Pelodiscus sinensis: one gene and its partners. The protein of the gene in region 3 purifies or fractionates together with the protein of the main gene of each other region. This does not show direct contact. Links are inferred from orthologs where the notes say so. Each region holds a gene or a part of one and is shown on either strand. Other genes may lie near its edges.

Evidence for each region.
Region 1: the proteins of CCNF (region 3) and TARDBP purify together in Homo sapiens (affinity purification with western blotting; 3 studies listed by BioGRID, with this or other methods). This does not show direct contact. The link is inferred for Pelodiscus sinensis from reciprocal best matches to the Homo sapiens genes CCNF and TARDBP.
Region 2: the proteins of CCNF (region 3) and RRM2 purify together in Homo sapiens (affinity purification with western blotting; 5 studies listed by BioGRID and IntAct, with this or other methods). This does not show direct contact. The link is inferred for Pelodiscus sinensis from reciprocal best matches to the Homo sapiens genes CCNF and RRM2.
Region 4: the proteins of CCNF (region 3) and RBX1 purify together in Homo sapiens (affinity purification with western blotting, with the first as the bait; 4 studies listed by BioGRID). This does not show direct contact. The link is inferred for Pelodiscus sinensis from reciprocal best matches to the Homo sapiens genes CCNF and RBX1.

What each region holds. Positions count from the first base shown.
Region 1 is NC_134733.1:11,715,136-11,722,718, reverse strand, and holds the start of TARDBP (TAR DNA-binding protein 43), read left to right. Parts: upstream 1-4,570; 5' UTR 4,571-4,709; intron 4,710-5,533; 5' UTR 5,534-5,548; coding exon 5,549-5,786; intron 5,787-7,035; coding exon 7,036-7,199; intron 7,200-7,583. UniProt on the Homo sapiens protein: RNA-binding protein that is involved in various steps of RNA biogenesis and processing.
Region 2 is NC_134713.1:27,356,246-27,363,386, reverse strand, and holds the start of RRM2 (ribonucleoside-diphosphate reductase subunit M2), read left to right. Parts: upstream 1-4,122; 5' UTR 4,123-4,270; coding exon 4,271-4,363; intron 4,364-4,451; coding exon 4,452-4,529; intron 4,530-6,014; coding exon 6,015-6,170; intron 6,171-6,915; coding exon 6,916-7,032; intron 7,033-7,141. UniProt on the Homo sapiens protein: Provides the precursors necessary for DNA synthesis. Catalyzes the biosynthesis of deoxyribonucleotides from the corresponding ribonucleotides. Inhibits Wnt signaling.
Region 3 is NC_134726.1:1,950,664-1,957,930, forward strand, and holds the start of CCNF (cyclin-F), read left to right. Parts: upstream 1-4,265; 5' UTR 4,266-4,407; coding exon 4,408-4,420; intron 4,421-7,100; exon of another isoform or gene 7,101-7,267. UniProt on the Homo sapiens protein: Substrate recognition component of a SCF (SKP1-CUL1-F-box protein) E3 ubiquitin-protein ligase complex which mediates the ubiquitination and subsequent proteasomal degradation of target proteins.
Region 4 is NC_134711.1:89,607,890-89,615,729, reverse strand, and holds the start of RBX1 (E3 ubiquitin-protein ligase RBX1), read left to right. Parts: upstream 1-4,828; 5' UTR 4,829-4,872; coding exon 4,873-4,986; intron 4,987-7,840. UniProt on the Homo sapiens protein: E3 ubiquitin ligase component of multiple cullin-RING-based E3 ubiquitin-protein ligase (CRLs) complexes which mediate the ubiquitination and subsequent proteasomal degradation of target proteins, including proteins involved in cell cycle progression, signal transduction, transcription and transcription-coupled nucleotide excision repair.

The DNA of each region.
Region 1 (7,583 bases), on a different chromosome or scaffold from region 3:
ACTCACAGAGCATTTATGAGTTGTTCACTGTCAAACTAGGAGAGTGTATCTAGTGGGATCCCTAAGGTGTCAGTTCTGGACCAGGCACTATTCAGTATTTTCACTAATGAATTGGATAAGGGAGTGGGGAGTATGCTTATAAACTTTGCAAATGGCACCAACCTGTGAGGGGCTGCAAGTACTTTGGAGGCCAAGACTGGTACTGAAAATTACCTTGACAAATTGGAGAACTGCTCTGAAATCAACAAGATAAAATTCAATAAAGATAAGTTCAAATCTCTTCACTTAGGATGGAAAATGCACAACTACAATATGGGGAATAACTAGCTAGGCAATAGTAGTATTGCTGAAAAGATTTGGGGATTATAATGCTTCACAAATGAGTCAACCTGATGCAGCAATGAAAAAGGCTAATATTCTGGGGTATATTAACAGGAGTGTTGTATGGAGGTAACTGTCTCCCTTTACTCAGCATGGGTGAGGTCTCAGTTGTAGTACTGTGTCCAATTTTGGCTGCTATGCTTCAGGGAAGATGTGGATAAACTGAAGAGAATGCAAATGAGAGCAATGAAAATGATAAGTTTAGAAAACCTGACCAGTGAGAAAACTGGGCATGTTCAATCTTGAGAAAAAAAAGACTAAAGAGGGATCTAATAATTGTTTCAATATGTCAAGGGCTCTTATAAAGAGGACGGTGATCAATTGTTTTCTGTGTTCATGGAAGATAGGACAAGAAGCAATTAACTTAATCTACAGCTTAGATATTTGGAAAAACTTGCTCCTCTAAAGGTAATTACATTGTGGAATACCCATCATTGGAGGATAGACCAGGGATGGTCTACTTGGTCCTACCAGCGTGCAGGTGGCTGAACATGATGACTTCTCAATGCACCTTCCAGCCCTATTTTACCAAAAGCACAACTGAATATTGAAATGGAACTGTACTTTCTCCCCAGAATAGGATGGTACAGCCATCCGTTTTAAGTTACACAGAGAGTTGCATGGGGAAGATACATTGAAAGTTTTCTCTCCACTTGTCTTGTAAAGAAGACAACAGCCAGAACTATTTAGAGTCCTTCTTACAAACCTCCCAAATGACTGCATTATATGGCTTCCTGTTCGTATACATTTGAAATGAAAAATGATTGCATTACAGATGTCTGGCATATGATTTGCAGCTAGGGTAACTGTTTTATAAGACTGATGGACTAATTATTGAGTTTATCATTTTATTCTGATCTTTTAATAATAATGTACAGAAATGTGGAAGGGCAATTATCCAGGCACATAAAAAGCGATTAAAATGTGTAAAAGCTATTAATGTGTTGTAGTATCAGTGCAAAGTATAAAATGTGAGTGTTTAATGGGTCTGGAGGGCTACCCTATAGGAAACAGAAGATTGCTGTCCTTAATGGAGCCATAGCAGGTGGGAATGGGAACATTTTTAACAATAATTGCTTCTCCCTCTTCTTGTGCTTCTTGGAAATCCAGAGTTGTATAATGGGGATGGAAAAAAAACAACACACCATTCAATGTTGTCATGCAGTCAGCAGTCCCTTAAATGACTGCAAGAATTAGAGTGATCCTGAACAGTTAGGATAGGCAGCACAGGCTGTGTTAACAAGGGAGAACTACAGGTACCATATATGTGATAAATGTGTAGTTTCTCTGTCATGATTTATCAACACTATGCGTAAGACCTGAGCAGTGGGGTGTTTTCTGTTGACCTGTATGGGAACATCTACACAGCAGGGCTAAAGCCAAAATAAGCTATGCAACTGGAGCTACATCAATTACATAGCTCAAGTCAAAATAGCTTATTTCAGCTTTTGGCGCTGTCTACACAGCAGGAAGTTCAAGTTAAAGCATTCTTCCTCTGACTTCCCTTATTCTTCGTAAAATGAGGGTTACAGGAGTCAGAGTAAAAAGTCCTACAACTTGACATTATAGGTCTTTCAACATTATGTAGAAATAACTGCTTGCTGTGTAGAACGTGAACCATGTTATTTTGGAATAACGTTAGTTATTCAAAAATAATGTCGCTGTGTTGACAGTCTAAGAGTTTAACTCAACAGGAGGCTCTCTGGGAAAACATGTCAGAAGGAAAAGAATAGGTCGAGATAGCCACCTCTCAGCAAACACTGAAGACCTATTATGGGACAATGCAAGAACTATTATTAGCTTTGGTGATTTTGCCTCCTCTCCAGCCAATCTACCCAAATGGTTCTTACCAGGACAGGATAAGACCCACAAACACAGGACAAACAAAAGAACTGTCAGAATCAAAAGGGACCCTCTCTAAATTCCATCCCAGCAAGGTAAAGGCAAAAGACCTAACATGTGAGAGAGACCAGAAAAGGGACAGAGGTGCAGACTGTCCTATAATCTGATCATAGGCATCCAGTAGTCTCAATACAGAATCCCTTCTATGTGCATTGCTAGTGAGTCTTGTGTCTTCTCTATAAGAGTCAATACAAACATCTTTTGCCACAAAGAAATTCATGAAGCAGAACCTCACAACCTCTTGTAGAAAGAACGACAACATCTGAAGAGTTCTACACTACTAGCAGCTACAGTTCTAGCCTCTCCTTACCACTTTCCCCACAACATAGCAGTGAGGAAATGAGAAAGACGTATCGGTGAATGGGAATTCAGCGCTCAAATGAGATTCCTTCTTACTCAGAAATAGAATAGTTTACCTCCCAACCTATGCAAAGCTCCAGGGAACCACAAGCTGATGATTCCATGAAGAACTCATCTGCACATTAACCTGTCCAGATTTCGGTCTAGTTTAGCCAATTCTTTTTAAAATCAAGAGGGAAGGGCCACAGTAAAAACAGAGAACGAGAAAAATCCTCACAAGATACAAAAGGAGGGCATATGAATAACAAGGTGCCTGAGGTTTCAAAATTAGTGCCACTAACATTACTGTATAACATTACAGAAGGTGCTGTTCAAATAAATGCCTGCATACAGCATGTTAGGTGTATCTCAAAGGGTTAAGAGAAGTAGATCTTGCTCAGCATAAAACAATGGGGATTCTTGCCTGGGATCAGACTGCATGACAAGGCTATTAGAAGTACTAGTTTTCGAACAAGATATCAAACTAAAGTGACAATGGAAAATCCCACACCATATTATTTAAATAAAGGAGACATGCCCTACCTACATTTCCCCTCTCATAAAACAGTATTGAATGTGCATATCTGTCTGAGAGTCATTGCTGAGCAAACAATGATTAGCAGGTTTGCCTGTGCAGTCATCACAATACCAGTAACTATTGCATTCACCTTGAGAATGAAATGAGCTACAAGTAAACCAATTTTTATTTTAGAAATACAGATTATGCAGTGCCATTTATCAACCCTAGACTCAAATCTGTCAACCATTGTGTAAGAATTATGATGTCAATCTAACATGTGGGACCTTTCTTTTTCTGGGCTGGAATGAGATGAAATGCAATATGCATTTAGACAGTATCCACGTGAGTAGCTTTGGCTCTCTTGAAAGACTCAGACCAAACTGAGCTCTGAGCTCCTGTCTCAAAGTACAACCTATCTTTAAGCAGGAAACTGTTGTCACACTTATCTCATACATATATTAACACTTTGTCTAATAGCTTTACAGTTATTTCAGTCATCCAAAAAAAAAATCCCTCCACAAAACGCTCGGCAAAAGAGTTTTGAAAGCTGCATAACTTGTTTACTTGATTCTTCATTGCAATCCAAGCAAAAGGCTTCATTCACCCTTGTCTCCTTTGATGCATTTAACTCACCTTTCCTGCCCCTTCATATGTTCTGAGATCCTGCCTGCCTAGAATCCTAGAACTGAAAGGAACCTCGAGTAGGGATGTAAAGAGTTAACCGGTTACCTGGTAAGCATTGCCTTATCTGCATGCTTACCAGAGTAACCAGTTAACTGGTGCCTGGCCTGACAGGAGCAGCCCCTACCTGTGGCACATCATTTAGTTGAGCCCTGAATGGAAAGCGCTGCATGATGGAAGATCCCTAGTAGTTGGACTTCAAATTGCCTTTATATTTTCACAGAATTGGGTTTTACCTGTAACAAACTTAACACTGTAAGAGAACCAAGAGACGTGTGTTCATTATTTTAAATACTGTCAGCGCAGGAGAAACCTAACAACTATGCAAATACAGTAGAATCAACAGCCCCATGAAAGAACTAGGCAGTTATGATGGATGCCTCTTCCACAAGGAGCTTCGACTGGAGCAGCGGGCACGCAACGCTCCCTTAGCCGTTCAACGTCCTTCAAGGGGAACAGCGCCAAGGCCTTCCCCGCACTCACCTCACCTCTCCTCCTCCTCCCCCTCCCCATCTCGCCTCTGCCTCAGCCTTACGCATGCGCGCTGCTGGTAGGCCGGATCATACCATTCCTCTAGGGTGTGTGTGAGGGCAATCCCAGATTTGCTTCTGTCCCTGTCAGGAGGTACGGCTCCGCACATCCCGAGCGAGGTACACTGAGGACGGTGTGAGAGCTTCTTTACGCAGATCCAAGCAGGCCACGTTCCCGGCGTTTGCTCTTTTCCGTTCATTTCCAGCTTCCCCCCTCCGAGGGAAGAATAGTTCGCCCCCAGACCGGTCTCTGCCTCTGGGGGCCGGTAGGGCCGCCATTTTGTCAGCGGCGGCTGTAGGAAGGTGGAGGTGTCTGTAACCCTTTCGCCCCGTGTAAGGCCCCCTTCCCCAGCCCGGTGAGCAGAGCAGAGTTAGAGGCAATGGCGTTCCCAGTCCCAACCGCGGCTGGGCCTGTCGGAGCGGGTCGGGAGCCGCGGGGAGTTAGGCCCAGCCCGGAGCTCGAGAGCGGCTGGGCCTGACGGGGCGGGCAGAAGCGCGCGCGGAAGGGCTGGGTGGCGAGGCCTAGCTGCCCGCGGGAGGGGGTGGTGGTTATAAACTAGGCCTCATTTAGGGGTAGCGTATCGGCAGGCCATCTAGTCTGGTCCTCACCCCTTTCTCCGGGTAATGGTTTGGTCCTGACTCCCTTCCTCTGTGGCCTGACCTCTGCTCCCTGTCTCCCCAGTGTGACCAGGACATTTACCCCCCTCCACCTGAGAAATGGTTGGGCCTCTGCCCTCGCATTGTCTGATCCTTGCTCCCCTTCGCTTTACCCCCCACCCCCCGCCCCACTCTACTTTGGTCTGGTCCTTGGCTTTCCCCCTTCTTTTTCGCTTCCCAGCAGTACCTGTTGGCTCATCCCTTCTACCCCGTCCCACTCAGGGGTGCGCCTCGCCTCGCCCCCTCAGTGGGGTGATTGGTGAGATCAATGCAAATTGTAAGCAAACCCTTTATTCACACCCTTTCCTTTCCCAGCATTCCGCTTACATGTCACCTTGCACTTCGTTGTGAGAACGTAACACACACAAAGCTTAGAGAAGATAAAATGCAACCTCACTTGATAGTTTCCTTATGCCTAGCAAAAAAAGTATTGTCGGTGTTTTGCAGAGAAGCTAGGATTAAAAATAAAATTGGAGTAAAAAAATTGCTGATCTCCTCCCTGCTTTTTTTGTTACTCTATTAGTAAAATCCAGCAAAGATGTCCGAATACATCCGTGTTACTGAGGATGAGAACGATGAGCCCATTGAGATCCCCTCAGAGGATGATGGCACTGTGCTGCTATCCACAGTTACTGCCCAGTTCCCTGGAGCATGTGGCCTGCGTTACAGGAATCCAGTGTCTCAGTGTATGAGAGGAGTCCGGCTAGTGGAAGGAATTCTGCATGCCCCAGATGCTGGCTGGGGAAATCTGGTCTATGTTGTTAATTATCCCAAAGGTTTGTTTTTGTTCCATGAATATTTGGTACAGCCATGCTTTCTTAATTACAAGGAATTTTACATCAAGAGCTAGAGATTCCTTATTTTTTGTTTTCCTCTTGTCAAACCATAGCACAACTACAAATTAGTCCTTTTCACATGAATGTGTGTGCCTGACCCACAGAGTGATTTTGAGCGTTCTCATTCATGAGAGTATTATTTAGTATAATTCTACAAGGTGCTTTACTAATAAAACTTTACCTTACTTTTTGTAAGACTTTTAACAATCTCACAGAGTTATCAAAGGTCCTATCCTACAGTGAGTTTTGTGCAGAGCTAAGGTTTGCCCACGTGAAATTGCATGATTAGAACCAATGACATCAGTGTTGTAAGAGAAGGTGTGGGAAAGGTGAAAGATGACCAAAAAAAGAAAAAAAAGAGTAAGGAGAGCATTTTTCCGTTTTCATTTGAGTAGCCATTTTTCAAAGTATATATAATGCATACAAAATCTGGTCAGGCATGTGAATGTTATTTGGCAGTACTTCAATGGAAAACATGCTGAAAGTGTGTTTTTAGATGCATTTGTGTCTGCCTGTCTTCTGAACTTCTATCCCAATACTGTAGGGCAGTTGGATGTGTATTATAACATAATAATAAATATGTATCTTTCCCTATTAGCTTCCATGATACATCCTGAAAGGATCTATCCAGTGATGGGCAGCCTATGGGCTGCATATGGCCCACTGGGATTTCACCTGAGGCCTGCATGTCCCCTATCTGCCCCCTTCCCCATGCCTCTTGCACACTGGGGCACTGGAGCCTATCTCTTCTTTCACCGCCACCTCCCTCCCAGCACTTTTGTAGCGCCATGAATCTGCTGATTCACACTCCATCCCTGCTCCTTCCCCTCCCTCTCAGAACTTGAATGCTATGAATCAGCTGTTCATGGCTGTTCAAGATGGAGGAGGAACAGGGACTGAGCATGAATTCAGTGGATTCCTGATGCTCCAAAAGTGTTTAGAGGGAGGGGGAAGAATAGGATGTATGGGGGGTCCAGTTCTCCACTGTGTGTGAGGCATTCAGGAAGGAGGCAGAAAGCGAGTGCGAGGGCCGCAAGTTGCCCACTACTGGCAATCATGCAGCCCACTCACTAGTCTTGGTTGTTCTTCACTGATCTGATCCTAGTACTATGCTGCTTCTGACCAATGAAAGCAGCTTTCCTTCATGTGTTGTGGAGATAGATGACAGTTTCTGATGTGTATCATTTAGATAACAAGAGAAAAATGGATGAAACGGATGCCTCATCAGCTGTGAAAGTAAAACGAGCTGTACAAAAGACATCCGATTTAATAGTTTTGGGTCTTCCTTGGAAAACCACTGAACAAGATTTGAAGGAATATTTTAGTACGTTTGGAGAAGTTCTCATGGTTCAGGTAAACTCTGTTGCACTTGCCTCTCCACTTAAGTCAGAATTTGAATTCCGTTAACTTAAACGTTTTTCTATTTGAGCCAGTACAAAGCAATTTGGGTAGTATAAAGAGTACATCTTTAACTACTGTAACATTAAAATTTGCTTTACACTATTTGCAGTGTGCTATTTTTTCTTGGGGATATCTTGGTATGTGTTCAGGTAGTTGACCCATATCAAGACTTGTTTCTGAAAAGGGAATAATTCTGTTGTAACAGTGTAAATGAGACAGAATATGGCCCGCTGTGTGATGATTGGGTTTTGTGCTTACATGTTAATTTATTATTACTATTATGGTAGTTGTAGTGTTTTTGAAGACTGAATTTTAAGTTTCATCAATATGTTTTAT
Region 2 (7,141 bases), on a different chromosome or scaffold from region 3:
TTGAAAAAAGAAGAAACATCCGAAATCAAGTGGCATACATCACATATTTTCCTAGAAAGTCAAAAGCAGCAATCAGAGGCTGTCTACACTACACTCCTTTTTCCGATTGTTTTTTCGGAAGAGGCCTTTCTGAAATTTGGCCTGTTTACACTGGGCCAAATTTCAGAAAAACCTCCTCTTTCGGAAGAGCCTTTCTTTCTTGTGAAACGAGGTTTGCAGGGCTTCCGAAAGAGTATGTCTGCTTTTCCGCAAAAAATGTTGCATTCCATGGACATGGCGGAGTTTTTCTGGGATACCTCCAGTATTCCGGAAAAAACTCCATAGTGTAGACATAGCGAGAGCAAGTGAGTGAATGAGCGAGAATGTGTGTGTGTGTATGCGGGGAAGGGTATACTCTCCCATGGTCCACCCTAAAGCCAAAGTTTGGTCACATGACAGCAAAATCTGAGATGAAAGTGACAGTACAGCTTTTCTTCATGTGCCTCTAATCCTTCAAAAATTTAAGCACATATATAACATATGTTAAAACTATTCCTGTGCATGAATTTTGCATGTTTAAGTCTTTGCAGAATCTAGGCTTTTGACCTTGTCTATGCCAGAAGAGAAAGTATAGATAAGAGAGAATGTCATAGAGGTATACAAAACAATGAACAACACAGAAAAGATCAACAGGATTGTCCTACTTCACTTTTTGAATTATATCTGAATGGGAGAGCATTTAATGGGAAGGTAAGACATATAGCATGTACAAATTGCTGACTGATGAAACTCATTGCCACAAGATATATCTGAGGCATTGAAAAGATTTAAGAAATATAGTTATACTACAAGACTTACCCGGCATTGCTCAAGTCGTTAACTCAATTAATTATTGTGTTTTGGAAAATAAAATATTGGAGCTGGGGATGAAGGTTTCAGTATGCAGGCTGCCCCAGGGAGAGAGGACTACCTTAGCCCTCTCTTTGTGCAGCAACTTGGGGACAGGTGAGAAACACCTCTCTATGGCCACTGCAACTTCAGTGGGCACAGTTGGGAGAAGGGTACATGTCGCTCTACTGAACAGGTCCAGGTTCATCTGTGTCCTGCGCTCCCCAGCCAGAGTGAGAAGTTCAGCAAACTGTGCACTTTCCCCTGGGGTAACAGCCAGCAATATTCCTGTATGAATCCAGGGGGTGGAGGAAAACTTCAGCCCTTCCCATCCTCCCTCTCTAAAGGATGACTGGGAGGTGAAAGGCTTGGGACTTGGGGCAGTTTGGGGAGGTGGGGAGACACCCCCAGCCAGCCCCTTTCACATGCCTGGTGATTATCTCTTTTCTGTATGATTTTATATGAACCTGTATGAATGGGGGGGGGGGGGGAGGCCTGCAGCCCCTCTACCCTCCTTAAATGGCACCTGAGGGGTGAGAGACTCAGGACTGGGGCAGTCCTGAATGGGGGTGTGTGCACCGCCTACCAGCGCCTTTCATGTGTCTAGTGATGCTGTCTTTTCTGTATGGTTTTGTAGGAAGCAATCCCACAACCTGTTTTCCAGGCACAACCGAACCTTTACCTTGGTTTAAGTTATGGTAAGAGAAAGCTGCACATTGAATTTGGCAGCCCTAGCTCTTACGGTTTAGGAGTTCTTGAACCAACAGACACACAGACAGATTCAGGCGGACACAGATCGACAAACTCTCTCAAATATATAGTGAACAACCCACCATTATTTTTACAGACATCATGTTTCAGGACATAAAATATCACTAATTCAGGGGCTGTGTCTAGACTGGCCAGTTTTTCTGGAAAATCAGCCACTTTTCCGGACAAACTTGCCAGCTGTCTACACTGGCCGCTTGAATTTCCGCAAAAGCACTGACGATCTCATGTAAGATTGTCAGTGTTCTTGCGGAAATACTATGCTGCTCCTGTTGGGGCAAAAATCCAGTGTAGACAGCCCAGATTTGTTTTCCGCAAAAAAGCCTCGATTGCGACAATGGCGATCGGGGCTTTTTTTGCGGAAAAGCGCGTCTAGATTGGTACGGATGCTTTTCTGCAAAAAGTGATTTTGTGGAAAAGCGTCCGTGCCAATCAAGACGCTCTGTTCCGAAAATGCTTTTAACGGAAAACTTTTCCGTTAAAAGCATTTCCGGAAAATCATGCCAGTCTAGACGTAGCCAGGAGGAGTAAAGACAAAATATCCTGCTGGGGCATCTGAGACAAAGGGAGCACAGAAGAAGGGTTAAATCTTCTCTGGTTCCTAAACTACTGGGACCATCCACCAAAGGAGTACTTCCCTGGTTCTTGAGTTTATTGGTGCTTGGTGGGAGCGGGAGGGCATTCCCTAAAGTGGTCTGCAACATGACTTAAGTGACCAAATAGAAATAGTGGAAAAACTAGGACGGGGTGGGGGATATACTACCCCTAATTATAAAAAAGCCCAGAACAGCAAGACTGTCCCTATGTAAGGGGACTGTTACCCCTTACTAAAACTCTGTGGGAGTTTTTTGGTTTGCCAGCTCCCAGTTTCAGAAGGGACATGAGTCTGACAATGGAAAGCAGCCAACACTCCAGCTCAGCCTGATTGACAGGTTGGACAGGCCAGTGAGGAAGGGGAGAGGCCAGGCCCCGTCCTCCCTGTGAGCTGGGATTGTTCTGACTCTCTCTGAGCAAACAGAGAGCTGAGAGACAGCCCAAGCAGTGCAAGCTGTGTGCTGAGGGGCAGTTTTTGCAGCAGCTGAGCCAGACACACACGGCTCAAGGAGCGCAGACCCTGTGTTGAGCAGCAGACTGGCAGTGCTCAGAGAGCCAAAAGGAACAGAGAAGCAACACAAGAAGCTAGAGACTGGCCAAGAAGCTCAGCCTGCAGCTGGATGTGGTGAGCAGAGGGGAACTGCAAAGTGTGGGGAGAGGCTCTGGACTGGGAGAGGGGTCTGGCCACTTAGAGCTTGAGGCTGTGTGGTCACTGCCAGAGCAAGCGTGTCCAGCCTGCAGCCCCTCCCCCCCGCAGCACATCCAAGGCCTCTAAGGGGCCTCTAAGGAAGAGACTGTGGACTGTCCTTACACTCTGCAGACTGCTGTTTTGATGTCCCTGTGCTACAGAGCAGGGCTGTGTGTTCTCATTTAACCTTTCTCATTTTTTCTTATTCTTTTCTCTTTAATCAGTTGATGTTTAATAAATTGTATTTGCTTTGAACCTTATGAAGTGATCACTGGGCCAAGGCGGCCTGCAGTGTAAAGAGAGCACCTCGGACTGGGGACACCCTAACTCCTGCCCCTAGTGACTACAAGGTCGGGGATTAAGCCCCAGGAAACCTGGGCCCAGCCTTGTTGGGGTTTCAAGGGCTCTGCTACTCAGGAGGGTGGAGGGGGAGCCCTCAGGAACAGGGGAGCCATGGGGTAAAGGAAGTGGGAGTGGGGACTCAGATCCTTTCGCTGGTCCATTTCACCGGGGTGGTATAAACGCCAGGAAAGTTCCCCACAATAGCGGAATCATTCCCCCGCTTACACCTAGAAAATCTGGTCACCCTAAACAAGACAGAGGTTTTCAATCTGTGGTTTGGGAACCCTTGGGCACCCACAGACTACATCTAAGATTTCTAAGGGTCTGCACTGCCATTCCTATTTTTTTATGGATCCGTACATTTAAAAAGGTTAAAAACCATTGGTCTGTGGGAATCAGCAGCTCTGGAGCGACAGAGCCACCCATCCTGCCCCTTCCCATATGTACTTTTTCCGAGTCTGCAAACACCCCCGTGCGATAGACTCTTATCCCGCTTTAAAAGAGGGGGAGAATGAGGCAAGACTGACCCTCTTCTCGCTGCGGGAGAGACAATGCAACAAAAGGTGCGAAAGGGAGGGGGCAGACGCAGGGGGTGGAACGTCAGGACAATCCAGGGGCGTGTCCAGCTGGGGCTTTGGGCCAATGGAAGCCTCCAGGAGACGTGCAAGTGATTTTTGAAGTGGATTCCCGCTTGTCTAAAAAGAGGGGCGTGGCCGGCCTAAGGCTTCTGACCAATAGAAGCGCAGAGCGGTCGGAATTTTCGGCGGCTCCCTCGTTTGTGACAATGGGTAGCGCGCCGCGGCCGGGCCTCGAGCCAATGGGAACGCAGCAGCGACGGCAGGTTTCGGGGCGGGCGGAGTGCCCGCTGTTGCGATTGGGCGGCCTGGCGTTCTGGCGCCAAGTTCGAAGGGAATATAAAGCGTCCCCGGGGCACCCACCACCCCTTGTTCCCCCAGCACGACTGAACCGGAGCTTTCATCGCGTCCCAGCCGCTGCCTCTCTCTGCTCGCCATGATCCCCGCCCGGGCCCCGTTCTCCGTCCGCAACGAGCAGCCCCGCCTGTCGCCCATGAAGAACCTGGTCCTGACCGACAAGGAGAACACGGTGAGTGGCCGCCCCCCCCCCCTCGCCGCCCCCACCCCCCCCAGCCACGGGCGCGGCGCCTCTCACCAGCCGCTCTCTGTCTCCGCAGCCCCCCGCGCTCAGCGCCACGCGGGTCCTGGCCACCAAGACGGCGCGGAAGATCTTCCAAGAGGCGGACGCGAAGCCGGTGAGTCGGGGCCGGGGGGAGGGGAGGGGAGCCGGGGGGATTCGGGCGATCGGCCGGGCTGGGCTTGGGGAGGAAGCGGCTGTGAGCGCGCGCGGGTTGAGCTAGGCGGCAGCGGGAGGCTGGTCCCGCCGCTTTCTGCCTTGGCGCCAAATTCTGCGGCCCGCCAACGCGCGGGAGCCCCCCCCCCCCGCCTTCTTCCTCTCCTGGGGTGGGGAGCACCCCTCCCTCCGCGGGGGGGCCCCTCTCTTCTCCCCCCCTTCCCTGGGGTGGGGAGCACCCCTCTCCTTCTGCGGGGGGGGCCTCTCTTCTCCCCCCCCTTCCCTGGGGTGGGGAGCACCCCTCTCCTTCCGCGGGGGGGGCCTCTCTTCTCCCCCCCTTCCCTGGGGTGGGGAGCACCCCTCGCTTCTCCCCCCCTTCCCTGGGGTGGGGAGCACCCCTCTCCTTCCGCGGGGGGGGCCTCTCTTCTCCCCCCCTTCCCTGGGGTGGGGAGCACCCCTCGCTTCTCCCCCCCTTCCCTGGGGTGGGGAGCACCCCTCGCTTCTCCCCCCCTTCCCTGGGGTGGGGAGCACTCCCGCTTCTCCCCCCCTTTCCTGGGGTGGGGAGCACCCCTCTCCTTCTGTGGGGGGGCCTCTCTTCGCACCCCCCTCCTTCCGTAGGGGGCCCTCTCTTCTCCCCCCCTTCCCTGGGGTGGGGAGCACCCCCCTCCTTCCGCGGGGGGGCCTCTTCTCTCCCCCTTCCCTGGGGTAGGGAGCACCCCCCTCCTTCCGCCAGGGGGCCCCTTTCCCCTGGGGTCGGGGAACAAAGGCCTTTTGTGTACACTAGTAGGTCTGCATGGGCCAAGTACTGCACAATAGTTTAGTGCCCTTTAGAAGCTACACCTCTGTTGAACAGGTTACCACATGCCATAGACAAGCCCCAACCCAGACCTAATCGTGCCCCCTGACTTCATCTACAAAATAGTCTCATCACATGCACCTAAACTCCACGGGTGGGAGGGGCAAGGGGCCTGGCTGCAGCCAGCAGGCTAGACTCTCTGGGCATCTGGGGTGGAGAGAGATGTGAAGGAGGGACTGGCACTTGGCAGCAATGGCCAGAGAAGCAGAGTGAGCTGGGGCCACGTTCAGCTGCCCCCACTGCTGCCTGTGAGTATGTGTGGGAGGGGGGTTGGCCCCTTGGCCCTGCAAGTGCCCCCAGATACATCCAGTTGGGGAGGAGGGTGAAGAGGCAGGGTGGAGCAAGTGCCCAAAAGAGGAAGGGTGTGGCCTGGGGCCGAAGGGGTTGTCCCAACCCTTCCTTGGCCTGAGGGGGGAGGGTCATGTGGCTACTGGCCCCTACGTTCTTTCCCCGCTCCTAGTTGTCCCTGATCACAATGGGATGCAAACTAGTGCATCACATTCATGGTTACGCTTTCCTCTTCCCAACATCCACAGTGTCTACCAACACTGGGGACATGGAAATCAATTTTTCTTATTGTGTCTCCTTTAGTTGAAACCCAAAGCAGTTACTCAAGCTCCTAGCAATCTGGAAGATGAGCCACTCCTACGGGAGAATCCCCACCGGTTTGTCATCTTCCCCATCCGGTACCATGATATCTGGCAAATGTATAAGAAAGCAGAGGCCTCCTTCTGGACAGCTGAAGAGGTGAGAGGCTCCCATGATGGTATCCCTGCTCTGGTTGTTTCAGTGGACATGCCCACTGGATATTCACCGCTCAGGCCAGCTCATAACAAAGTGTGTGTTCCTAGTAGTATTAACATATTTACATTGCAATAAAACCTGTGGGACTCAGTCATGATCAGGAACTTTTGTAGTAGGTGCTGTACTAATGCAACAAAGATGGTCCATGTCCCAAAGAGTTACAGATGATGTGTCGAAGTGCCTCGCTACCTGTGCTAATGTGAGGGTTTCTTTTGTCAGCATAGGTAATCCATGAGCTAGATCCATGGAAGAATTCTTTGATCTGGAGGTTTAGCTATTGGCCAAAGGTGCAAAAAAGTCATTCCTTACCAACATAGGCCAGCTTAATTTTCTAGTGCTGATCTAGCCTAAGCTTGTTAAGAACCAACAGTGACTGTATATTAAGTGTACTAGAGCCTTAAAATTGTTATATTTAATGCAGGGGTGTGCAATAATTTTTACAGGAGAGCACTTAATGAATTTTGATATGTGGCCTCAGGCTGCATCTTGCCCAGCCCGGATTAAAATAGCTTTGGAAAAAGTGACATAAACCAAGAACAACTTTCCATGGTTCTAGGAACCCATTAAACTTCATAATTTGATTTACTGCAGTAATATTTTATGTTTAATACACAGTATAACATTGCTTTATATAAATGCATTCTTTAGTAGCATGATAAAATTGTAAGTGCCTGCTTTTGTTCTTCAGGTTGATCTTTCCAAAGATATTCAGCACTGGGAATCCTTGAAGCCTGAGGAAAAGTACTTCATTTCACATATCCTAGCCTTCTTTGCAGCAAGTGATGGCATTGTAAATGAGAATTTGGTAAGCATACAGAAGAGAAATCCTGAAGTAGAAATCGTTCTGTTAACAAAGCTGCCCAAATAAAACAATGAGATGTTTATCTCTTGAGCGTCTTCTGCTTTAAAACCTA
Region 3 (7,267 bases):
TATACAGATGACACTGCTGTGTTCAGCAACACCTGGGAGGACAACAAGGAGCACCTACTCCTGACTTAAAGAGGCAGGTCTGACCATAAAACCCTCCAAGTGTAAGATAGGGGCAGCCAAGGTCCCTTATCTAGGACATTGGGGGGGGGGCGAAGAAATGTCACCTGACCCAATTAAGGTGGAAGCCATCGTTAACTGGCTAGTACCTCAGAGTAAGAAACGGATCCAATTCTTCATAGGCATGGTGAATTATTACAGGCAGTTTGTGGGCGGGTTCAGCGACATCATAGCCCCCATCACGGACCTGTGCAAGAAGCATCAACCTACTAAGGTGGTTTGGTCAGAGGCCTGCCAGAAGGGCTTTGATGAGGTGAAAGTGCTCCTGTCAGCAAAGCCTGTACTAGCCAGCCCTGATTTTGATAAGACATTTGAATTGTGCACTGATGCATCTGACAGTGGCTTGGGGGCAGTGCTTATGCAGACAGGGAAGGATAACAAGAAGCACCCTGTTGCCTTTCTAAGTAAAAGCTGTCCCCTACTGAACAAAACTACTCCGTCATAGAAGAAGAGTGTCACGCCATAGTGTGGGCGGTCAAACAGTTGAGACCCTACCTCTTCAACAGGAGATTTAGAATTTTTACAGACCATTCACCACTGATATGGCTGAACAGAACCAGGAGCACAACCTCGAAACTGCTGCGTTGGAGTCTGATTCTACAGGAGTTTGACATGGAGATCGTGCACATAAAAGGCAAGGAAAACACGGTGGCAGACGCCCTGTCCAGGAAAGGGGATGTAGGAGACACTACCTCTGCACTGAACACTGTCCAACCCTCCAGCAGTAGTTTCATGGGAAGGTGTGACGGATTCCCCCATGCTTTATGAAATGGACTCATGGACACGAATATATATAACTCAAAAGTGGTGTGAGCAAATTATTTCATGCAACCCATCGATCTTCATGTCAAGATCTGCTGGTTCTGTTTATCTTACTCTGTTGTATGTATCATTTGTGTGTGTAAAATTAGACACAGGGAGTGAGGAATAATTTGTGAATTTCCAATGTGTGAATGGGAGACATGGAGGGTGTTACCTGCAACTTCTAGATGAGCCACTGTTAAACACTCTTTTGTCCTTAAGTCTGAGCAGTGGTTGGTAGGGAGTGGCATCAATTCCTTAACAAAAGGGACAGGAAAGTAGAGGACTGGGTCTTTTGGCTGGGCTGTACCTGGAGGAAGGATCCTGAGACCCCAGGGTGGGGAAGACAGCCCTGGTTTAGAGTGGCAGGTGGAAAAGTTTGCACTGAGGTTTCAGTGGAGAATTAGCCAAGCTGTTTTGTTTCTTTTGATTTGTAACCTACTTTGCTCTGCCTCCTCTCTCTTATTACTACTTAAATCCTACTGCTTCAACTTAATAAAACCATTTTTATTTTCTATCAAACCGAGTGTAAGCGACTGTTACCTGGGGGGGGCAACCAGTGTGCACATCCCCCCTTTCATTGCTAAAGGGGGCTTACCTAATTCTTTGGGGTTTGATCCCATCTGGGGAGTGCTCTCTGAGGAGGCTGGGCCCTAAACTGCACTCTCCTTGGATCTGAAGTGGTTCAGTGTCTGTACTGCTTTTCCATAGGGGCAGGGAGCTCAGCTCAGGGCCTTGGCTAGGGGAGACCAGAGGAACTGGCCCAGCAGGACTGGGCAGTGAGGAGCCCCAGAGAGCAGGAAGGCGAGTGGCAGTGGCCGTGTCAGCACCCCGGGAGGCACCCCCGAGGGGTCGTCTGTGACGGCACCCCGTCACAAGGTTACTTTCTGTAGTTTCTTCATGATGTGTGGCCCCTAACTGGATTCTAAATATGAGTGTGCATGGCACCAGGTGCCAGAACTGTTCATAGGAGAGACCGTTGGCCCGCACATGCATTGTGCACCAGCTGTATGGTGCATGTGAAGCTTTAGGAGGCAACATAGGTTGATGCTGCGCCAGTTCCCCTCTTATGAGTTAGTAGAGGAGTTGGTGGCTAAGGGGAAGGAGGTCAGGATTAGAATTCAGAGAAGGATCACATATCTCAATCTCCAGTTACAGCATGCAGCCTCCTCTTCAGAGGTACCAGTTAGATAGTGTGGAGGGGCTCTAACCCTCCCCTCCTCCCAAGTATGAACCCCTGAATTTCAAACTTGACGTCTGCTTAAAGTGCATGCCCTGACCCCCGACAAAGCTCTTAACTGAAGCAGAGCTTGTGCTGCTCCCAGTTTTGCCTTGAGGGGTAGGGAGTTTATTTATAAATAGAGGGAGTCAGAGTAATTAAGATAACAAAAGGCTTGTCATTACATTAATTGAAGGATCACTAGATGATCATGAAAACATTTTCAGGCACTCCACTTAAAAGATAGGAAACAAAGGGTAGGAATAAATCGTGAGGATGGAGGGAATTAACTAGGTAACCCGTTCCAGTGCTTCTTCACCCTCTAGGGAAACTTTTTCCTAATATCCAACCTAGACCTCCCCCACTGTAACTTGAGACCACACTGCTCCTCGTTCTGCTATCCACCACCACTGAGAACAGCCTCTCTCTATCCTCTTTGGAACCCCCCTTTAGGAAGTTGAAGGCTGCTGTCAAATCCCCCCTCACTCTTCTCTTCTGCAGACTAAACAAACCTAAATCCCTCCACCTCTCCTCCTAGGCCTCCTAATCGTTTTGGTCACCCTCTGCTGGATTCTCCAATGCATCCACATCCTTTCTATAGTGTGGGCCCAGAACTGGACACAATACTCCAGATGCGGCCTCACCAGAGCCAAATAAAGGGGAATAATGACATCTCTGGATCTGCTGGCAATGCTCCTCTTAATGCAACCTAATATGCCATTAGCCTTCTTGGCTACAAGGGTGCCCTGTTGACTCATATCCAGCTCCTCATCCACTGTAACCCCCAGGTCCTTTTCTGCTGAACTATTACTTAGCCATTCAGTCCCCAGCCTGTAACAATGTTTGAGATTCTTCCTCCATCCCAACTGCAGGACTCTGCACTTGTCCTTGTTCAACCTCATGAGATTTCTTTTGGCCCAATCCTCTAACCTGTTCAGGTCACTCTGTACCCTATCCCTGCCCTCCAACATATCTACCTCTCCCCCCAGCTCAGTGTCATCTGCGAACTTGCTGAGGGTGCAATCCATCCCCTCAGCCAGGTCATTCATAAAGATGTTGAACAAAACCGGTCCTAGAACAGATCCTCAGGGCACCCGGCTAGTGTTAACTGGTTAAACTGGGGGCTGCTCCTGCCCGCACTGGTTAACGCTTTGCATCCCTGCCAGCACAGCTGTGACCTGCTTGGTGCAGGAGCGTAGGGTCATGCGGGGCATGGGTGGAGGGTTGAGACTCCTAGCCTGAAAGACTGACAGGGAATGCGGGAGTCCCGGCCCACAGGGGTCTGGAGACGCGGGGGGGGGGGGGGGAGGAAGGGGCGGGAGACCCCGGGAGTGGGGGAGGCGCGGGAGACCCCGGCGGGCTGAGGCGGGAGGCCCCGGGAGGGGGAGGGGCGGGAGGCCCCGGCGGGCTGAGGCGGGAGGCTCCGGGGGGGGAGGGGCGGGAGACCCCGGGAGTGGGGGAAGGGCGGGAGACCCCGGCGGGCTGAGGCGGGAGGCCCCGGGGGGGAGGGGCGGGAGACCCCGGCGGGCTGAGGCGGGAGGCCCCGGGGGGGAGGGGCGGGAGGCCCCGGCGGGCTGAGGCGGGAGGCCCCGGGGGGGGAGGGGCGCGGGAGACCCCGGGAGTGGGGGAAGGGCGGGAGACCCCGGCGGGCTGAGGCGGGAGGCCCCGGGAGGGGGAGGGGCGGGAGACCCCGGCGGGCTGAGGCGGGAGGCCCCGGGAGTGGGGGAGGGGCGGGAGACTCCGGCGGGCTGAGGCGGGAGGCCCCGGGAGGGGGAGGGGCGGGAGACCCCGGCGGGCTGAGGGGGGAGGGGCGGGAGACTCCCTGCCTGGCACTAGGCGCCGCCTCCCCACGCCGGCCGGCGAGGTAGAAGTTCCGGTGTCCCTGAGCACGTGCCCACTCCCAGCGAGCCCTTCGCGCCAACTGCCCCAATTCGAATCCGCATCCTGAGCGCCCAATGACGGGGCGGGGAGCGGGCGCGAGGTCCCGCCCTGTCCGCAGGCCGGCCAATGACAGCGCCAATTGAGTTTGAAAAAAAGTGCGCGCGGCTGGTGGGCGGAGCCTCCCGTGGAGTCCGGAGTCCGACGCGCTCGGGGCGTGGCGCAGCCTGAGGGGGTGGATCCTCGCGCTCTCCGCGACGCGCGCTGGGCTGGGGGCGTGGCCGTGGAGCTGGGGCCCGCCCCTCGTGCCCGGCGCCGGGCTCATTCCGAGCGGGCTGGCGGCGGGCGCGGCTCGGCTCCCTGGGGACGCGCAGCGCGAGCCCGGCGGCAGCATGAAAGCGGGCGGTGAGCGTCCCCGCGCCCGGCGGGCTGGGCTCTCTGGGGGCCACCCTGCGGGGGGGTCCTGCAGGGATGGGGGGGGCCACTGCGCGGGGGGGGTCCTGCAGGGATGGGGGGGGGCCACTGCGCGGGGGGGGGTCCTGCAGGGATTGGGGGGGCCACCGTGCGGGGGGGTCCTGCAGGGATTGGGGGGCCACCGTGCGGGGGGGGTCCTGCAGGGATTGGGGGGCCACCGTGCGGGGGGGGGTCCTGCAGGGATTGGGGGGCCACCGTGCAGGGGGGGGGTCCTGCAGGGATTGGGGGGCCACCGTGCGGGGGGGGTCCTGCAGGGATTGGGGGGCCACCGTGCGGGGGGGGGTCCTGCAGGGATGGGGGGCCACCGTGCGGGGGGGGTCCTGCAGGGATGGGGGGGCCACCGTGCGGGGGGGTCCTGCAGGGATCGGGGGGGCCACCGTGCGGGGGGGTCCTGCAGGGATCGGGGGGGCCACCGTGCGGGGGGGGGGTCCTGCAGGGATTGGGGGGGGCCACCGTGCGGGGGGGGTCCTGCAGGGATTGGGGGGGCCACCGTGCGGGGGGGGGCCAGCAGGGATTGGGGGGGTCACCGTGCGGGGGGGGTCCTGCAGGGATTGGGGGGGGTCACCGTGCGGGGGGCTCCAGCAGGGAGTGGGTTGCCAGCCCGTGGTTAGGGGGCTCTTGCCCTGGCAAACTCCAGATGCCTCATGTGGGGCTGGGGGGGGGGGGGGGGTTAAGCCCAGCAGGGTGGATGCTCTGCTGTCTGTTTTCTGGGGTGTCCTTGGGATGGGTGCTGCATGTTTCTCTGAGCCTCGGACCCTGCATTCTCAGATTTGAGACATGAGGGCTAAGTAGTGTCTGAAATACCCTTCCCAGCATCTGATGGGCTAATCCCCTCACCTCCATGTCCCCAGATGGTCTCTGGCACCTCCTTATTGTCCTTTTTACTTCTCCCCTGTGCTCATAAAAGAGTGTGTTTTAGATTTTATTTTTAAATTCCAAAGAGAGGGAGCCCCACTGGTTTAGGCGGGTGGATTTAAAAATCAACCGAGCCTATAGTGGGACAGGACGCTGCCTGCAGGGGGAGGGGACTCACTCATGGTTCCTGCATGGGCACCCAGGACTTGAGAAAAGAGCTGCTAGTCTTATCTTGGTCACTTTGGGTTTCTCATCAACCCAGAGAGTTTCACAAGATAACCTTACTTTATAATTTATGAAATGAAGGTGTGGCTGCAAGATTTGCAGGGAACAGATGAGATTTTGCTTCAAAAGACAGGGTGTTTGAATGAAATGTAAATTACTGAAATATACACATTGCAAAATTCCCCATCAACAGCAGAGACTTGAATAAAAATACTTTAAAAGTTTAATTCAGAATTAGAGGGATTTTTGACATTTCAGGCTGGTCACAAGATTGAAAGTCAGACTCAAGTATTGCAGTTCCCTGTTTTTTTCAATATAAGTCTCATTTTATCTTTGCCATGATAACATCTACAATTGAAATATGACCTCTAAGCAACCCTCCATTCTCTCATGTCCAAAGATAATTCAAATTTAATATAATAATATACAAACTGCAATATTAATTCCTAATTTAATATGGCTGCCTCTGGCTGAGGGAAGCAGCTAATTGGCACACTTATGGAGGGAAAAAGGAGAATGTATGACCAAAAGCCTAGGAGCAAGCTCCCCTAATTTTACACAAGTGCTAAGGATTCCTATGTCCAGAGCAGACAAAACTTGCTTTTTTATCATCTGAGCATAGTGAACTGCTTGCAGATCATCTAATGAATTACTTTTTTGCCAAAAACTATAAATGGGTTTACCAAGTAGATTTTGTTGCAGGCAGATTTATTTTAAGAGGAAAGGGTTTTTTATTACACTTTCTGCATTAATTGGACAGAAATATTAGAATACTTCACCCAAGTTGAATGTTTTCTGATTCTTGCTATGGGGTACATAACACTAGAAGATCTGCTTCTTAAATACACTATCTTTGCTTGCTAAATGTATTTTGGAATGCTTTTGTTGTTTAGTCAGTACCTGAATTTAAAATATTAGAAATGCAGCTTGTATACACAATGTAGATATGTTAATAGTGTATGAGGCCATTTTAAAGTTAACTCACTGTAATATAACTTCTGGGCTACTAGAGCTATATTGTCCACCATCTAGTCTTGCTTGATTCAATTTCCTGGACTGTGGGTCAGTTTCAGTTCTGAATACAGGCTTAATTGGCATGCCAGTCTAGAGATGAATTCCTTCTTACATTGCAGTAGTTCTCTTGCTGAAATTGGGGGGAGGGGGGGAGATACCTATGAGAATAATTTAGTGATTTGTGCATATCAGAATTGCCCTTTAAATTACATTAATATAGCCTTTTATTACCAGGAGGAGAATGGATGTTTAGTTAGAATAGTTATCCTGGAAACTCCAAAGTATTAATAGGATACATACTCAGTTTGTTAGTCTGGGGTAGCTGAAGCAAAATGCAGGACAATGTAGCACTTTAAAGACTAACAAAGACGGTTTATTAGATGATGAGCTTTCGTGGGCCAGACCCATTTCCTCAGATCAAAAATCTGATCTGAGGAAGTGGGTCTGGCCCACGAAAGCTCATCATCTAATAAACCATCTTGTTAGTCTTTAAAGTGCTACATTGTCCTGCATTTTACTCAGTTTGGATATTTTAGGTGGCCCGTTGCTTTTTCCCCCCCTAGGCAGATACCTATTCATTTGCATTAGGAAATACCCAGGTCTAGGGACTGTATTACTCAGTCTTACGGAGTGTCTCTCTACCTGGAGAAATGTTGCTAGCCCTTGCTAGATAGAGGGGTACTT
Region 4 (7,840 bases), on a different chromosome or scaffold from region 3:
GGAGATTTTGCTTCTCACTTGTGTGGCCCCCAACTGATGTTTTTGTGGGTCAGTGACCCTAGACCCAAAAAGGGTTCTCCACTCCTCCCTTAAATAAAGAAAACATTGAAATATTTTGTGTTGCACATAATATGTTACTTTATTTAAAATGAAGTTTGGTAAAATAACACGAGAAAGTTAAAACGCTTAATCTATTTCATAATTTAAATTAAACTGTCCTTATTAACTGCAGCTGGTTCAGAAAATAAGGTCAGGATACCCAGCAAGGTAGTTCTCAACCCTGCCCCTTCTGTCCAAGGCCTTGCTCCTTCCTGGTCAGCCCGTGTCCACTTCCAAAATTTGTGAAGTGCCCCCCCTCCAAAATTATTGCCCACCCCGCTTTGGTTCTTATCAGGAAAACAGGCTGCAAGAACTGGGGGAGAGAGAAGGGAAATGAATCAAAATTGGCATTGAAATCTTAACTAAATAACTTAGAATTTTTGTTTAAAATTTTCAGTCTTTACTTTGTGGTAAGGTTGACTGTGCTCCTTTTCTGCATTTGCTACCACTCACTGTATGCTCGTCTCTCTTGCAATCCTAATTTTATGTATCCAGTTTCCTTACCATAATAACGGGAACTGCCTTTCCTTGCAATCAACAAGTAACTGATGGCCAACAGTACGCAGGATGAGGATGACCCTATCCAGAATCAAGGGTGAACCTCTTGCTACATAAGCATGTCAGTTCTCAGCACAAGAAGAGGATGCCCTATTCCATTTATTCCCCATTCCTTACCTGCATAACATCCAAAGGCATTCTCTGCATTCCTGACATAGTTCTGATGTTTCCCCTCTGCCAGGTACACCAGTGCTTAGCCTTCAAGGTTTGCCCACCACTGCTGGTTTTTATAGAGCTGTATCAGAAGCCTTAACTTCTTCAAGGATCATTCCATTTATTTCAGGAGACGCACTGCCACAGCATACAAGACAGGATATACTGGCACAGCAGGAGCACAGTTGGGCTTTCAAATCACAATAGTGAGCTGGGACTTAGCATTGTGATGTACTTTGGTCCTACCGGATAAATACAAATTACTGGCAGCTCTTTAGCCTCTATTATCCCAAATAAAGAGACGTGGCTGGGATCTCAGTTCCCTCTAAGGTGCATGCCTCTGCGGCCATGCATGAAGAATTCTAGGCCTGCCCACCTCATCTGCAGGGCCTGGAAAGTGACTGGCGAGGTGGGTTCTAGCTCCTACAGCTGCCATGTGGCCTGCTGCTCTGGCAGGTGGGGCTGGGGCCGCATGGTCGATGGCTGCTCCGGGAGCTGGGGCCAGGACTGCATGGTGGGTGGGTGGCTGCTCCGGCCAGCTCTGGCTGTGGCTGCATGGCAGACAGGAGGCTACTCCGGCCAGCTGGGACCAGGGCTGGGGCCATGTAGCAGGTGGGTGGCTGCTCCGGCTGGCCGTCCAGAACCGCGACCATGGCTGCGTGGCGGATTGGTGGCTGCTTCGGCCAGCCAGCCAGAACTGTGCCTCCCATCTGTGTCCCTTCTAGTCTGTTTTTCTCTTCCCTTTTTTACCTCCATCCCTTCTCCAGCCACTTCCCTGTCGTAAGAATTCTAAGTAAGGCTATAACATTTTGACTAACCAGCCTACCAAACAAAGAACTAGGATTTCTCTTCTCATGCCCCCTCTGGCATTACTCCAGATCCCCCACCCTTTCCCAATATAATAACTGTGAATTGTTTTGCTCAAATAATGTTGCAGAAGAAAATCAGAATTTAGGAAGACAGCAAAAAGTATTGGGATGAAACAAGGAACCAGTCCTATACCACTGAAGTTAACTAGAGTTTTGCCATTAACTTAAAAGAATGCAGATTAGAGCTCAAATGTTGTGGCTTCTACCCTTTGCAAAATGGTTATTAAGGGTATCTGAAAATAGTTTTCTTTCTGTATCTGTTGTTAGGTAAGATAGTCAAGCATGATGTGACTGAGTTTAAGTTCGCGGTTCCGGACGGTCATACTGTGTACAGATGTGGTTTCCTCACCTCAAAAAAGAAATTTTGGCCTTGGAAAGGGTTCAGAAAAGGGCAACTAAAATGATTAGGGGTTTGGAATGGGTCCCATATGAAGAGAGGTTAAAACGACTGGGACTTTTCAGTTTAGAAAAGAGGAGACTGAGGGGGGATATGATAGAGGTATATAAAATCATTAGTGGTATGGAGAGGGCGAATAAAGAAAAGTTATTAGTTCCCATAATAGAAGAACTAGAGGACATCAAATGAAGTTAATGGGTAGCAGGTTTAAAACTAATAAAAGAAAGTTCTTCTTCACACAGCGTGTAGTCAACCTGTGGAACTCCTTGCCAGAGGAGGCTGTGAAGGCTAGGACTATAAGAGAATTTAAAGAGAAGCTAGATAATTTCATGGAGGTTAGGTCCCTAAAAGGCTATTAGCCAGGGGATAGAAATGGTATCCCTGGCCTCTGTTTGTCAGAGGCTGGAGAAGGATGGCAAGAGACAAGTCACTTGATCATTGTCTTCGGTCCACCCTCTCTGGGGCACCTGTCAGCAGACAGGCTACTGGGCTGGATGGACCTTTGGTCTGACCCAATATGGCCGTTCTTATGTTCTTATGTAATCTAAACTTCCACATGTACCAATTGGACAAAATATGCCTGTATGGTTTGTTTAGTCATTAGATCATCTGCTAAAAAATTCTGAACTCAAATTAACATTAATATAAAGCTGTCATATTCCATTATGCTAGATGTACATCGCTATACCTCAGTTTCCCCTCTGTAGAGTTGTGAGGTCACGTGCATTAGCGATTGTGAGGAGGTCAGACACTGGAGTGAAGGAGGGCAGTGTGAGTTCCTTGATAGACAGACTGCATATGTCCCATTGAGGCTGGGGGAGCTCCATTAACACAGGCTGTGTAAACCTGAGCTCTGATGCCTTCAGGAAAGAGTCACGCTTCCCTCTGTTGGTGTAGCTTCTCCCTACCTGGCTGTGGGTCTCTTTCCATGTTCTCCTCACATTGGAACTAACCAGCCCCTTGGGTCTATCTCATGCCTTGTCCCTCATTTGTCTCCTATGGTCCCGGGGGGGGGGGGGGGGGGGGAGAATAGCTGCAGCACAGTGTTAATTATACTTTTAGTATTCTTTCTTCTATAATGTTTATATCTAAAGATATTTGTTAGTAACTGGTGGGTGCCAGTGACACACATCTGAACATGCACACGGGACCTCAATATTGGTGCACAAGACAAAACTTACTCTGCTCAGGATGGAAAATCTTAGCGGGAACACTGGATGGGATGTCATTCAACACTGCAGTGCTCCTTATTCAGTAACCAGAAGTCACTGCTCAGCTACACAAAGTACAAGGCACCTGGAGGAGAATTTAAACACGTTGCCTCCCATAGCATTCCCAACACTCACTTTGAAAGGAAACAAAGACTGAACAATTTTCCTGGCCCTGGGGCAGTATGCAACAGCCTAAAGTCACCAAGGTGAGATTTTTTTTTCCACTGAAAAATGTGCTTTGCAAATACTTGTCAGAGACAGACTGAGCCTTAGGGCAGGTCAACACTAACCCATGGAGGCATCACAACTGAAAATGAGCTAGACCAGCATCAATCTAGTGCAGCGGTGGCCAACCTGTGGCTCGCGAGCCGCATGTGGCTCTTCAAAGGAAAAATTGCGTCTCTTCTCACAGTCCCTTGCTCTGACCTTTTCTTCCTTGTCTGGGCAGGGCGCTGCTTGGCGCAGCAAGATCTGATGCTGCGGCTGACAAAGGCCTGCTTGGGCCACATGTGGCTCTTAAAGGGGCAGCAGTTTTTTTGGGGGGAGGGGGTTGTTTGTTTTTTGGTTTTTTTTTGCACAACAACTTGTTTTCCTCGGCTTTTTGCGCTGTATCCACCACTATTTTGGCTCTTTGTAATGAGTCGGCCACTCTGTTCTAGTCTCCTGCATGGTAGCACAGAGCCTTTGCCAGCCACCACTGTCCCCTGCTGACAGGGAGGCACTCTGAAAGGCCATGGGAAGCTGCGCGTGTTTGGAAGGAGAAGATTTACATTTTTTTCGAAAGGCCCCTTTGGCAAAGAGGAGCCCTGCTGAGTATTTTAGTGTGACTCGAAAATGCTCATTGCTAGGGGCACAACCGAGTGGGTGCAGAAGACTGATGGGCAGGACTAAAGGCACCCAACTCTGCCTTCTCGCCAGGGCAGCACGAAGCGCTCAGCACCCGACTGGGCCGGTCACTCTCCTGCATGTCGGCTTCTGGAGAGGAGCTAAGCGCCGGGGAGGCAGCAGCGCCGGCGGCGGGCAGGGCTCCGAGCAGCAGCAGGGCGGCCCAGGCAGGTGCATGTGTGTGGACGGGCACAGAAAGGAAGATGGAGGCGCAGAGCCCAGCGCTGCCCCACTGCCAGCTCCCCGCTTTGCAGCGCAGAGCGGCGAACAGCCTCCGTAGGCACCGGCCCGGGGCAGCCACACGCGGCTCGGCCCCGCCGCACGGAGCCCCGGCCGGTTCCAGCACGAAGCTCTGGGTCGAGCGCGGCCCGCAGCTCTCTCCAGGGCGGGGCAGACAGAGGGGAGGGGCGGGGCGGGGCGCCCACCAGCACCCCGGCTCTCGGGCGAGAATTCTTGCGTCGCCCTTTAAATGCTGCTGCCGGGTTCATTCCATCCCCCCGCCCTAAAGTTGCGCAATTCTGTCATGCGGGCGGGGGAGGCTGACTAGGGCTCCGCCCTGGCTGGCGCCTTTAAGAGCTCAGCGTCACATGATGCTTCCTTGCGATCTTTCCCCTCTCCCTCCCTCCCCTCACACCTGTTTGCGTGCGGGGCGGGGCGAAGGGAAAAGAACTGTCGCGAGTCTTTGGCCCTTTTCTCGCGCATGCGCACTCTAAGGGGCTGGGAGTCGGGTATCAAAATGGCGGCAGCGATGGATGTGGACACCCCAAGCGGTGCCAACAGCAGCGCCAGCAAGAAGCGCTTCGAAGTGAAGAAGGTGTGGGTCTCCGGCGGGCGCCGCCCTGGCAGCCGCGGGAGAGGAGGGGGGAACGGGGCGGTAGCTCCGGGGCGAGTTTTGGTCTCTTCAGAGGCCGGCTCTCCGGTTCCGCACTACGCACGAGTGGGCGGGGCTCTGGGTTTCTGGCGCAGTCCGGGGCCAATAGCTGAAGCGGGGTGACTGTACGTGGGGGACGGAGGGACCAATCAGTGGCGCTGTTGTTGCCGGGTGACAGCAGCGTGTGGGGGCGGGTCTGTGTTAGGGAGGTGTCCGCTCTGTTACAGGGAGTGGGCGGTGGCGTCCCCCCTTGAGGGCGGGGCTGCGCCGCGGCTCAGCCTGTTCCGTCGGGGCGATGCTGCGGGGCCGGGGCGCGGCGAGGGGGCGGGAAGTGTCGCCCCGAGGGGACGTGGCCGTGGGCAGGCTGCCTGGCGCCTCTGGTGTGGCCTTGAGCCAACGCGCAGCCACCCGCCACGGGCCCTCGCAGCCGCTTTTAGTTGGGTGATGTGAGGACGCTCCCGCCCTGAGTGGGTCTGGTGGCCGGGTGCGGGCGCTTTCTCCCTGATCCTGAATTAATTTTCGGCGTGGCGCAGCCCCCCGCCACCCCCTCTCCTGACGGCGCTGCTGTTCTTCTGCCGCAGGCCTTGGTTTCCCTTTCCCACCCGTTGACCTTTGCTTCGAAGCCTATCCAGGAGGGAAGACGTGTTTGTTTCTTTTCCTCTACCCCCAAAAACAAATCGTCAGGGACCCAGCGAGCATGGCAGCCCAGGAGTGGGCCCTGAGTAATAAAGCTTAATGGTGCCCCAGTCCTCTGTCTCCCTCAGACACCTGAGTGGCAGCAGTGGTGGCTGCCCCGTGCCAATACTGTGCAGTTTTCTACATGACTGTGGGTCAGACTGGTGTATGCTCAGTGAAGTTTGTCTTAGGTGCCCTTCATGTCAGAACTCTCCTTACTCGAGTCAAAGCTCCTAGTCATAGGCTTATTGGGTACTCTAGCCTTGCCCTATGGGCATGAATAACATCATCACCAGAAATTAAGACTAATAGCTGATTGGACCAGCTTCTTTCCTCCTTTATAGCAATATTGGATTTACTGAGCTAACAGAAGTAAAATAATCAATAAAATCCAGATTTTTTTAAACCATAAAATTAATAGTTATGACTTGAATACATCAAGTCTGCTGAGTAAAAAGGCTTTTACAGGTTTGCACAATAATTAATTCTCAGTTTAGAATCACACTTTAATGATAGAAAATACAGGACTATGTAGCACTTTAAAGACTAATAAGATGGTTTATTAGATGATGAGCTTTCGTGGGCCAGACCCACTTCCTCAGATCAAATAATGGAAGAAAATAGTCACAACCATATATACCAAAGGATACAATTTAAAAAAAATGAACACACATGAAAAGGACAAATCACATTACAGAACAGAATCATAGAATAATAGGACTGGAAGGGACCTCGAGAGGTCATCGAGTCCAGCCCCCCGCCCTCAAGGCAGGATCAAGCTCCGTCTACACCATCCCTGACAGATGTCTATCTAACCTGTTCTTAAATATCTCCAGAGAGGGAGATTCCACCACCTCCCTTGGCAATTTATTCCAATATTTGACCACCCTGACAGTTAGGAATTTTTTCCTAATGTCCAATCTAAACTTCCCCTGCTGCACTTTAAGCCCATTACTCCTTGTCCTGTCCTCAGAAACCAAGAGGAACAAATTTTCGCCTTCCTCCTTGTGACACCCTTTTAGATATTTGAAAACCGCTATCATGTCCCCCCTTAATCTTCTTTTTTCCAAACTAAACAAGCCTGGCTTCATAGGTCATGTTCTCTAAACCTTTAATCATTCTTGTCGCTCTTCTCTGTACCCTTTCCAATTTCTCCACATCTTTCTTGAAATGTGGCGCCCAGAACTGGACACAGTACTCCAGCTGAGGCCTAACTAGTGCAGAGTAGAGCGGCAGAATGACTTCACGAGTTTTGCTTACAACACACCTGTTGATACAACCTAGAATCATATTTGCTTTTTTTGCAACAGCATCACACTGTGAAATTTCCCCTTCCCCACCTCTATTATCATTAACTCACTGGCATTCACCTTCCTTCTCCTCCCCCTCCCCCCCACATCCTCCTTCTGTTCTGTAATGTGATTTGTCCTTTTCATGTGTGTTCATTTTTTTTAAAATTGTATCCTTTGGTATATATGGTTGCGACTATTTTCTTCCATTATTTGATCTGAGGAAGTGGGACTGGCCCACGAAAGCTCATCATCTAATAAACCATCTTGTTAGTCTTTAAAGTGCTACATAGTCCTGTATTTTGTTTCAGCTACACCAGACTAACACGGCTACATCTCTATCACTTTAATGATAGGACCATGTATGTTCTTGGACCAGGGAGTCCTAGTTGCGAACCCCAGTGGCAAGAGGGCTGGCGGCTTGGAGCTTGGTGGGGTTGGGGCTGGCGGCTGGGGCTAGCAGCGGGGAGGGAGGGTAGCAGGGGACCTTTTCTGGTCTGTCAAATTCCATCATTTGGGGCCAGTTAGGTCCCGAAAGTGCTAGACCAGAGAGGTCCAACCTGTATTCAAAAACCTACACTGGAGCCGCAGATAGGCCATCCAGTTCTTTGTGCTAGCTCTCATGACATTTGAAAGAAGGAACTTGAGTGCAGCATGGCATATTTTAACTAGTTGATTGTCATTGTGGTGGCAGTGGTGACTTATTAGTAGAGCTGCTGCATATGGTCATCCCTAATGGTAACTTATTGGTAGGGCTACTGCTCATTGTGGTATTTTCCATTTGGTCAAGGAGATCTGAATTGGTTTTCCAGTACGATTCTCACTTTCCCTCT